Linked DNA regions of Coturnix japonica. The protein of the gene in region 2 interacts with the protein of the main gene of each other region in a biochemical or structural test. Links are inferred from orthologs where the notes say so. Each region holds a gene or a part of one and is shown on either strand. Other genes may lie near its edges. The genes, in order: ABCC2, SLC9A3R1 and TBC1D10A.

The links.
Region 1: the proteins of SLC9A3R1 (region 2) and ABCC2 form a complex in vitro, tested with the Homo sapiens proteins (2 studies listed by BioGRID). The link is inferred for Coturnix japonica from reciprocal best matches to the Homo sapiens genes NHERF1 and ABCC2.
Region 3: the proteins of SLC9A3R1 (region 2) and TBC1D10A form a complex in vitro, tested with the Homo sapiens proteins (2 studies listed by BioGRID and IntAct). The link is inferred for Coturnix japonica from reciprocal best matches to the Homo sapiens genes NHERF1 and TBC1D10A.

Annotation. Positions count from the first base shown.
Region 1 is NC_029521.1:19,253,743-19,257,981, forward strand, and holds the start of ABCC2 (canalicular multispecific organic anion transporter 1), read right to left. Parts: upstream 2,814-4,239; 5' UTR 2,515-2,813; coding exon 2,473-2,514; intron 2,064-2,472; coding exon 1,890-2,063; intron 1,442-1,889; coding exon 1,316-1,441; intron 508-1,315; coding exon 373-507; intron 1-372. UniProt on the Homo sapiens protein: ATP-dependent transporter of the ATP-binding cassette (ABC) family that binds and hydrolyzes ATP to enable active transport of various substrates including many drugs, toxicants and endogenous compound across cell membranes.
Region 2 is NC_029533.1:9,149,637-9,152,002, reverse strand, and holds part of SLC9A3R1 (Na(+)/H(+) exchange regulatory cofactor NHE-RF1), read right to left. Parts: intron 1,133-2,366; coding exon 974-1,132; intron 532-973; coding exon 378-531; intron 31-377; coding exon 1-30. UniProt on the Homo sapiens protein: Scaffold protein that connects plasma membrane proteins with members of the ezrin/moesin/radixin family and thereby helps to link them to the actin cytoskeleton and to regulate their surface expression. Necessary for recycling of internalized ADRB2.
Region 3 is NC_029530.1:9,671,477-9,675,714, reverse strand, and holds the start of TBC1D10A (TBC1 domain family member 10A), read right to left. Parts: upstream 2,832-4,238; 5' UTR 2,755-2,831; coding exon 2,555-2,754; intron 1,770-2,554; coding exon 1,670-1,769; intron 1-1,669.

The DNA.
Region 1 (4,239 bases), on a different chromosome or scaffold from region 2:
AACAGCATCCAAATAAGGGCAGTCCCAACAGGGCAGTTGCAGAACTCTGTGCCCTGTCTCAGCTTCTTCTCACCACCCCTCTTTCCTTCTCCCTTCCCTCCTCCCAGATGTCCATAAGGGGAGAAATTAGTCCTGGTTTTCTCACACTTCCTCAAAGGGAGAGGGTGAATTTAAAAGGCTATTTCTCTTCCAGTTCCCATAGGGCAGCTGGGACCTCAGTAATGCCACTGAGAGCTTGTTCAGGGGCTGAGGTCCATAAGGGACTTGATGACCCTTATGGGATAATACCTTGGGGTATTCTACGATTCTGTTACTTTCTCTGGGGACAGAACAGTGCCATGGGGAAATATACAGTTTCTTGCCAAACCCAACCTGCAGTGCTCTCCGGACAAGGGACTGGAATGGCAGGATCCCACAGAGCAGGGACAGGATCCAGAAGCAGAACAGTACCACCGAATCTCTGCACAAGCAGAAGTGCCGTGCATAGTGGATCAGCAGGACCAGGACCTGTGAGAAGGAACATCACTGAGGTTTGGTCAGGGCAGCAGGACCAGATCAGCCTTTCAAACACACCCTTGGGGTATGTGTCCCCAGGCACTGGCACGCATGGTCTTTGCAAGTCCTACAGGAGCTTCAGAGTTCATTGCACAGGGCAAAGGTTTACTTCAGGGAGACATCATATCAAAATACTCATAGGAAAAACAAGGTCTGAGGGCACCCCGGCATTATGCTTTAGCTGCTCTCACCCCAGGTTCTTGGCCATGCTGTAAAGAGCGGGCATAAAGCAGTGCCCTGGCTCCTGAACATCAACTGCGTGCCTGGCATTACACAGGTCAGAGACCCATGGTTAACAGTATCTCCTAAACTTTGCACATGAATCCAACTGATAAAATAGCAATCATTAGCTAATTGTTGTGTTTGCATGTAAGTGTAGCTTCTAAGTTTTATGGATTTATTATACTGTTAGATTGGTGGGTAACTTCCACAAGATATCTACTACTCCTGCGCACGTGTTCCACTGCGCACATAGTTCCTGTGCCCTCAGTTCCCCAGAGGACCAGTCTCACATATCTTCATTCACAAATCCAATCTCTAATCACGAATCTCCTCTGCCTCAGAATTCTACGGCACTTCTCAATTCTTCCTTCCCACAGAATCCCCGCAGGTTCTCAGAGCTGCCCCATCCCCATCTCCCAGGCTGCTCCCCTGCAGATGCAGCCTCCTTCCATCCCCATGCTACTGAAGCTTTCTGCTGCCCTGCCATCTCATGCCATCTCTTTGGTGACACTCAGCACACTGTCCCGCTGACCCTTACCCATGTGACGATGTACAGGCTGGGGTTGGTGTACATGACAGCTGGCAGGGGGTTCTGCCCTGTGCCCTCTGTAATTGTCAAGACCAACTCTGCCACAGCTGTCATCAACAGCAATGTAGCCAGCACCTGTGTGGAGAGAAGGGCAGTTGTAAGGAGAGACCCAGCCCACCACATGCACTGGAAACCAGTAGGAGACAAAAAGACTGGATATAAAAGCATTAAGCCCTGTAGATCACTGCACCTTTTCCAACCCAAACCTGGTGCAAAGATCTTTCTTATGCCCTTTCATGGGAGCACTGTCATCATTTTAACCTTGAGGCACACAATAACATAATATCAGAGGCTGCAATGCACACCTAAGACCTCCCTCCTGGAGCATCCCAGCCCTATGCTGTCCTCTGTCCTAGGTATGTGTCATCACAGACTGCCTTCTGGGTGTTCCATCAGTGTTTCTTTGCTCCTACACTTCTCATCTGTTCATTCTTCACCCCACTCCAGCTTAGAAGCTTTCTACTCACCACTGCTCACCCGGGCTGCACCTGCTGCCCTCTGTGCTCCCTCAGCCCCACTCTACCTGTTTGATGATGTAGAGTTTGGTCAGAGATGATTTCTTGGATTTAGATTTGCAAATGGGAAGGAGCTGCCATGGAGCCAAAACCCAGAGGAAGCCGAGGGGGATCCAGACCAGCACTGTCTGCTGGAAGCACACCGGCAGGTCGGCATCTGGGCGAGCAAGGTAGGAGTCATTCTGGAGACAAGAATGGACAGTCAGGTCATAGAACCACAGAATCATAGAATATCCAGTGTTGGAAGGGATCTATAGACCAACCCCTGGCTCTGCAAAAGGGCCACCCAACAATCAGACCCTACATCTGAGAACACTGTCCAGGTGTTTCCCAAACCCTGTCAGCCTGGGGCTGTGACCACTGCCTGGTGAACCTGCTCCGTGCCCACTGCTCTCTGCAGAAGAACCTTTTCCCAGCACCGAACCTGATCCTCCCCTGAAGTCACTCAGGATCGCTCAGCCATCACCTGACTCACAGCACCAGCACTCTTATAGCTTCTATCCCTCCTGTTTCCACCCCACTCAGCACCCACCATCCTGACTTACTGCCCACCAAGCTCCCTACCCCAATGGGGCCAACACAGCCACTCACCCAGAAGACGGAGCCACAGAACTCCTCCAGAGATGCTGGCATGCCTGGGGCGGGCAGAGCCAGCAGCTCCTTCTCTCGTTCTGCTCAGTTGTGAGAGTCCTGGGTAGATGCTTGGAATAAAAGTCCCTACACACCCTTGGTCGGTGTCAGGATCAAATCCTGATGGCACACAGTTAATTGTTAACTTGGTGTGGTTGTGTAACTCTGAAAGCAAACCAGTGATCAAAAGGGCCTTGGAAAACCACATGAGTTCCAGGGAAGGCAAGAGAGGGAGGCTCAGAGGAGAGATGGAAGGGAAACTGCTGTCACAGACTCACTGCACCATAGAGCCATTGCTTGAAAATCACAGCCTTTATCAGTGTATACTGAGAAAGGTATATGGTCCCACAAGACAACCTGTGTTGGTGTGGTACATCTTTCCTCTGCTGGAACCACTCCAGCAACCCCCAGTACCCCAGTGACAGCCAGAGAGCCACACCTGGAGGGAGACTGGCCCTAAACCACCATCCTGCTACTCTGGGAAGTGGGGGCTGTAGGGGATGGGTCTATCCTAAAACAAATAGAATTTGCTTCATCTCACAGGATTTCAAGAAGCATTAGGTAAAAGGGCAGGGTGCACAGAGCAGAAGAAAACTGCTGTTTCATTGTTCAGTGTTTGTAGCTCAGGAGTCAAGGGTGATACAATGACTAATTGCTCAGGAATAAGCCCCTTGCCATCAATTGCAGAGGAAGGTCCAACGTCTAACCTGCTGGTTAATTATTATTACTTTGTCTGATTAAGTCCACTTCCCTTTTGGTAAACAGCTGTCCATAGTGCCAGGCTCTCCAGCCAGCATCAATACAGTACTGAGGAGAGCAGCAATCTGATGCATTAGACAAGAGATCACTGAGAGGAGCAGCCACTCCCTCAGATTCTTGTCGGTCCAGAGTGCTGATGTAATTTGTGAGGCTGAACACGTTCCTGTCCTCAACTTTTGGTCCACACCGTGTTGTTTCCCATCACCCAACCAAGCTGCACAGATCTTCATACATATTGTACCTCGGCTATGCCTAAACCCTACCTTTAATTTCCTGCTTATTTTTGTACAGTAGATGAGATCCAGTCTTACCAGTTCATCTTCACATACACGACCCTTTAAAGGTGCCCTTGTCCCTACCACATTTCACACTGTCCACTGGCCTTGCTTATAAGGCTCATAAGGGGACCTCTTGCCCCAGTTACAGCTTCCTATCCCCCCCATATTCTGTCCCCTCACTTGCCTTGGTTTTCAATGCATATCATAGAGCCCATCCTCTCCCAGTCTTTGCTCTCTCGTTCAGAGCTGAACAGCTTTCCTCAGCCCAGAATGTTTAAAACAAGCACATCCACTCTTCCTCCACCCTCAGTCTTGCAACATACTCATCCTCCTGAAAACCCTTAAAAGTCACCTTCGTATCCTTCAGCTCCTTCCACACAGCTTCTTCCACTACAATATCCAGAACCTATTTGCTGGGACCAAGCTAACTGAAGTTCCCACTCATGCCCCCACAGGGTCTGCTCCAGGACAGAGACTTCTGCAAGGCAATGTACAGATTAGTCCAGACCTCCTAATCTCTAAGAAGTTTATTTCTTTGCTTTCTTATGGTGCCTTTGAGTTCAAAAGCCTTTTTAAAACAATCAAAACTTTACACAAAAGAACCGAACTACATATACGATGACGGAAGGCTGCGTCAGCACAATATTCATGTTAACTGAGTTACAGATATCTTTAATCATCATGACTCAGG
Region 2 (2,366 bases):
CACCATTGGCAATGGGCTCAGGCAAGGGACCTGCAGAGAGGACACGGCGTCAGGTGGGGACAGGCACACACCAGGGCTGTGACCATCGGTGCCCGTGGGCACAACAGCTCCGGGGCAGCCAACGTGGGCTGCATCCTGCCACCATCAGGGCAGGGAGGGGGCCAAGGCTGAGCCGAGGCTGGAGCAAAGTGAAGGACAACCACACACCCTCCGTTCGCTCCCTGAGCCATAAGCCCTGTCAAAGTGTAAACCACAGGGCAATAAACCCTGCCCAGCACACACCCCACAGCCACGTGCCAGCTGTGGGCCGGGCAGGAAGGCGCCGACCAACCCCCATCCCAGCACAATGGGATCCCCATGCCTGGCACCGGACCCACCTGCCAGGTGCATCTCCGAGGGCACCACCCTGCACTTCTTGAAGAACTCATCAGCCAGCACGCCCACCACCAGCAGCTTGGTCTCATCGCCGCCCGCCTTGATGGCCGCCACCACATCCGCGTGCTGTTTGCCCTCCACGGGCGTCCCATTCACCTGTGGGTGTCACGGAGATAACGGACATTCCTCAGCCCCCCGCGGATGCCCGGAGACGTGCAGGGATTAGCAGCACAACCTCATTAAAAGCAGATTTTCTCAGAGCGATTAGCACAGGGCTGCACGGGGAGCGGGGCAGTGCCAGGAGATGACGGCACAGGGCGGCTGACCCCAGCACGGCGAGCACGGGCAGCCCTGGACCCACACAGCCACCACACACCCTCACGTCTGTGCCCTCCCATCCCAGGACAGCGGTGCTGCACGGGGTGACAGGTTGATGAGCAGCACGGCTGCACCCAGGGGTGGGATGGCTCTGCTCTGAGTCACCGCCAGCACTCAGGGCAGGGGGTGCCCCAGAGGAGCAGCTCCTGGGCGCTGCCCGCCCATCCCGTATCTCAGGGACACACCATGCTGCTGGCCTCCCATTGACCCCATCACCCACCTCAACAATGCGGTCCTGGGCTCGCAGCCCCGCCGCCTCAGCCGGTGAGTCGGGGTCCACAGCACGAACATACTGCCCAGGGCGGCTCTTCTCACTGTGCAGGTTGAAGCCGTACCCGTTGGGGCCCTTCTTGATGTGGCACAGCCGGGGACGCAGCTCCTGCGAGGGGACAGTGAAGGGATGGCTGTGAGATGGCGGCTCTCAGCCCTCACCCTGCTATGGCACAGGGCTGCAGACCCATGAAATTCACAATTGTGGGCACCTCCAGCTGGGCATGGAGACCAGAACAGACCGTGAGCCCCAGCCCTGCCTGGTTAGGTGCAGAACATGGTAACTATGGTGTTCCATTACGGAAGCCTGTTATTACACACATCCTCAGATCGGGCTCTTCCTTTTGGGATTAAGATTGCCCAGTGAAGGCAGAGGAGGAAGCAGCCTGGATGGAGGGCAGGCACCCACCTTCACCCTATGCCAACAGGTCCCACCTCCTGCAGACACAAAGACCACATCATCCCCCATCTGGGGGTGGCACCAAAGGGACCCCAGGTACTCACAGAGCAGCACCCACACTGAGCAGCCCAACCTATGGCTGCAGCAAACCAGGACCTGCAGGAGCAGGGCAGCAGCACGTGGGGCGTTCACCTCCTGGTGGCACCACCCCAGCCTGACTCAGTGTCCAACTGTTCATAGTTGTAGATTCATGGGATCATTAAGGTTGGAAAAGACCACTAAGATCATCAATCCAACCCCTCCCCAGTGACCACATCCCTCAGTGCCACATCTCCACGGAGCTGAGCACCCCCAGAGGGCTCCCCTGCTCCACTGTGAGCCCCTGGGTGAAGAAATGGTTCCTGATGCCCAACCTGAGTCCCCGGCACAGTGTAAAACCATCACCTCTCATCCTACTCACATAATACATGCATAGTGATACTGTCTTGATCGTTAGCCCCCGATCAGCGGTAGGGATTTCCCAGTGACAAAAGTCACACTGGAGTTCCTAAAATATCCCTCACCACGGGGTTTCATCACTTATCCTTCCCTTCGTCTGTCCTACTTTGGTACCCAAACCATCCCTGGGGACAGGCAGGAATTCCCCTCGTGCGTGCCCTGCGCTGCTCCTTACCCACAGCACACCCACATCACACCACGAAACTCCCTTGGCCAGCAATGATCCTGGGCTGGCACCAAGGACAGACACAGGGCGCTGCCGAGGGTGACACATTGGAGCAGCCACGCAATGAGAACAGCCTGTGTGACAGCCCCACAGCTGCTATCAGCCCCGTCCCCGTTGCACAACACCGTGGGGTCAAGGCTCACCAACGCCCAGCTGGGGACCAAAGGTTACGGCAGGACGTACCAGCAGCCAGCTGTGTCCATGTGCTGGCCGGGAGCT
Region 3 (4,238 bases), on a different chromosome or scaffold from region 2:
GAAGCCAGGCTGTGTCCCTTCCTGCTCCTGTCCAGCTCCACTGGTGAAGCAGTGCCATGAGCTCCCTGTGGTCCCATGAGATGGACACTGAGCACAAAGCCCTGAGTAATTCCAACACAGTCACCTCACTTCACTTCCTCACACACAGGGTGGCACACACCCTGTGCCTGAGCAGTGCCAGGGCTCTGCATGCTGCAGCCAACAGCACCCTGAGGCTCTGCAGCCCTGGGCACCGCCTGCCTGCCCAGAGCTTGCTCTCCCTGTTTGCCAGCGTAACTCAGAAGCAAGCACTTGTGTTCCCAGCACGGTGCTGACGCCACACTCCTTGCTGCACCCTCACCGCAGCACTGCTGTGTTTACCCTATTGGGCCCCGTGAGGGTTTTGAGCTTACAGGAAATGCTGTGGGCAATGCCCAAGGCAGCCACGGGCAGCTCGGCCGCTGACAGCTCCCTCTTCACTCCCCTTCCTGCTGGCTAAGCAGCCAGGAAGGAAGCCGCCTTGCTGGGAGCTCAGGCTTGGTTGAGCCATGCAGCTGGGGCAGGCTGAGCCCTATGGGCCACCCCGGCTCCAAACTTTGTCCTGCCATCACCCCCGTGTGCCCTTTGGGAGACCAGGAATTCACACAGGCTGGGGGAGGCCGCAAGCAAAGTGTCGCCGGAGCTGCCCATGTGTCTGCACTCCCACGGGCCGGCTGGAAAGGGCAGGGAGCAGCAGGCAGAGCTGGCATTGCTCAGCTTGGTGGGATGTGAGCCAGGACAGCTCCATTTCAGCACAGTGGAGAAGTGCAGGTGCGAATGAGCCACTCGGCTGCAGGGCCTGGGCACAGAGCAGCTCTCTGGAGCAGCCCCCTGAGGCTCCAGGCTCTGATTCTGCTGAAGGACTGAGCGCATGGAGCTCCATGGGGACCTCCTGGAGCTCAGCCTGAGCACGAGGGAGCTGCCTGCCAGCAGGATGGCTGCCGAGGCACTCAGCAGAGCCTGGAAAGCACACAGAGAGCAGCACACAGCACCGGCGGAAACAAAGCACCCACCTGCAGCATCCCCAAAAGCTCCCAGCGACCCTTTTGAAGCAACAAGAAGCAGATGAAGGACTCCTCTGTGGGTCACCAGGCACCGAGCAATGCCACAAACAGCACCAAGAGGGGACATGGCACATCAGGGTTATGCCACCCCCAGCCCTCCCCACCTCTGTCAGTGACAAGGCAGCACCCTGGGGCTCGCTGCGTCCCATCCCTGCTCCATTCACACCCTCAGGATGTTGGGAAGCACCAAAGCAGTCCTGCATGGGCTGAGCCTCCTGCCAAACCCCAGCTTGCAGGCTGCATCCTGCACATCAGCCTCCACCATTTCCTACCCACAGCTTTTCGTTTTGTTTTGTTTGCAGTCTGCAAGATGCTCAGAGCAGAAGTTTCCATGACCTAACAATTCCCATGGCTGCTCACAGGCAGCCAAGCCAGCTCTGGGAAGCTGCAGCCCAGCAGGGAGCAGCCGTGAGCAGCAGCAGCAGCCGGGCTGGAAGGGGAACAGCCCACCTGAGCCAACAGCATCACTCAAGGACAACACAATTGTAGGGACCAGCTGATGTCTGGGCTGCACTGAAGTCCCCCTGTGATGCTGCTACACGCAGCTGTCCCTATCTGCTGCATGGAGACAGCAGGTGGGCACTCACCTTCTTGTGTTTTTTGGCCATCCACTTGTCCCAGTTGTTGAGCATGTCCAGCCACTTGGACTCACGCTGCCGCAGCACCTCCAAGGGAACCTCCTCCAATCTGTGGAGCAAAGGGACATCAGTGGGACTGCAAACCCTGTACCCATCACCCCAGAGGCCACCCGTCCCTTTGGTGCTGCCTGCCCGTGTTTCTGTGCTGGCACAGCCCCTCTATGGGGTCAGCTTGCCCCTATGTGCTGTGCCTGGTGCCACATCCATGTGCAGCCCCATCGCAGTGACGCCCCGTGAGGCCCCACCCAGGGTCAGACGGGGCCAAACACAATCGTTTAGAGCAGCCTGAGCTCCAAGGGCAGCCTCAAAACAGCGACCAGCAGATGGGGACGGGGAGTGCGGGGCTCAATGAGGCGTGTGAAGCGGGACGGATGGATGCTGGATGCTGGATGCCGGGCTGGCTCATTGCCGGCTGGGGGCCGTTAGCAGCGGTGTGTCGGGTGCCACGGGGGATGATGACAGCTCTAAGCGGTGTAGTTATGGCCGGGCCGCTCCGTGTGTGTGCAATAGAGCAGCACTGCGGCCCAGACCGGCTGGATGCCGCCCCACGGCAGCGCTCGGAGCGGCGGGGGATGGACGGATACGGCCGGTGTCCCGCTAATGACAGCCGCACAACGGCCGGAGCCAACCGGGCCGGGCCGCCACGACCAACGGGCCGGGAGCAGCGGGTCCCCGCAGAGCACGGCGGGCGGAAGGAGGATGGAGGCCTGGGCCGAGCGGCGGCAGCGGGAGGAGAACGGGGCGGCTGCCGGCTGTATGCGCGGTGTAACCGTGTGCTCTATGAGCGGATCCCGCCCCCCTCACTCAGCCCCGACCCCCCCCGGCCCCACTCACGCTCCCTCGGCGCTGCGGCTGCCCACGATGAAGCCGAACTTATCGACCCGTCGCTCCTCGGGGCCGCCGTTCACCTCCGAGTCGGATCCCAGCGAGCTCAGCTCGTCTCCTCCCGCCTCAGCCAGGCTCTCCCGTGTCCCCGCCAGGCCCCGAGCGCTGCCGGGCGAGCCGGGCCCGCCGCCCCCGCGGCTCTTGGCCATGGCGGCTCAGCGGCTCGGCGGCCGCTCCTCCATGCCGCGGACACGGCGGCGGACACGCCCCTCGCCAACCGCCACGCCCCGACGCCGCCTCGCTATTGGCTGAGGAGAAGGGGTGGAGGCGGGAGAAGAGGCTCGACCAATCGGAGGGAAGGAGGGACGCGAATGCCCGCCCTACGGGAGAAGGGATTGGGCGAGGGGAAAGGGGGAGCTGTCAATCAGGGCGTCCACTGCCTCCGCCGGGCCCGGTAGTGGCAGAAGGGCGGGGTGAGGGGCTGGGGTACAGGGATGGGGTACAGGGAGGGGATGGGGTACAGGGATGGGGTACAGGGATGGGGTATAGTGATGGTGAACAGGGATGGGATGGTGATGGTGAACAGGGATGGGGGCTGTGCTGAGATGGGCACCGAGAGCTGACTGGGGTGGAACTGGGAGCTGTGAGGATGTGACAGGAGGCACTGGGACAGGACTGGGGGGGAACTGGATCCCGGGGTCCTATGTGGTCTTTATGGGGTCCTATGTGTTGTTGTGTTGAGGGATATGATTTAACTGGGAAGTATTGGTGATGGTTGGACTGGATGATCTTCTAGGTCTTTTCCAACCTTGATCATTCTGTGATTCTGTGAATGAACTGGGAGCACTGGAACTAAACTGGGAGCGCTGAGATTGAGCAGGGGCTGAGGGGGACCTGCAGGCACCGGGACAGTGCTGGGCCCAGGGCTGCACCAGGCCCATAGTGAGCCCAGCAGCACCGCAGTGCTACCCTGTACTGAGGGCACTCCCACAGCACAGCAGCAGGTAGAACTGGCCGTGCTCAATATAAAGCCCAAAGGGTGCGGCAGGGCCCGGCCCAGCGCTGGGTGATACTGCAGAGCTGCCCCAGCTCGTGTTGGGCCACACCTGCAGCCCCCCAGCTTCACAGCACAGCGCAGTGGGAGCTATTGGTATTAGGTGGATGGTTGGACTGGATGGTCTTTTAGGTCTTTTCCAACCTTGGTGATTCTGTGATCTCACCGTGAGCCAGAGCAGCACTGAGTGCCTCCAACCAGGGCTTGATTTCCTCCTAACAACAAGAAAAAAAGGAAATTAAACAAGCAAAGCTTTGTTAATGAGGACCCTTCACAAACCACCAAAGAGCCCAGGCCTGAGCTCAGCACATCAGCCCCTTTCCAGACTCTTGTGGCACGCTGTGCTGCAGGTCCTTCCCCCCGAAGTGGCGGTCTGTGATAGCAGTTGTTTTGTAGGCAAAGATACACACGGACAGTCTGCTACAACGTTTATCTGCGCTATGTAGATTGGCTGCCTGCTGGCAGGGCTCCACGTGAGCTATTTCCAGCTCTCCAGCAGCACTGAAGCCTGCGGCGGGTTTTCCTGCCTGAGCACAGCCCTGCCAGGCTCATAAACGGGGCTTGGCACTGCTGGAGGCTGGGAATGTCATCAGCACACAGCACAGCCATCGAGGAAAGCACCGCACGGGAGGAGCAGGT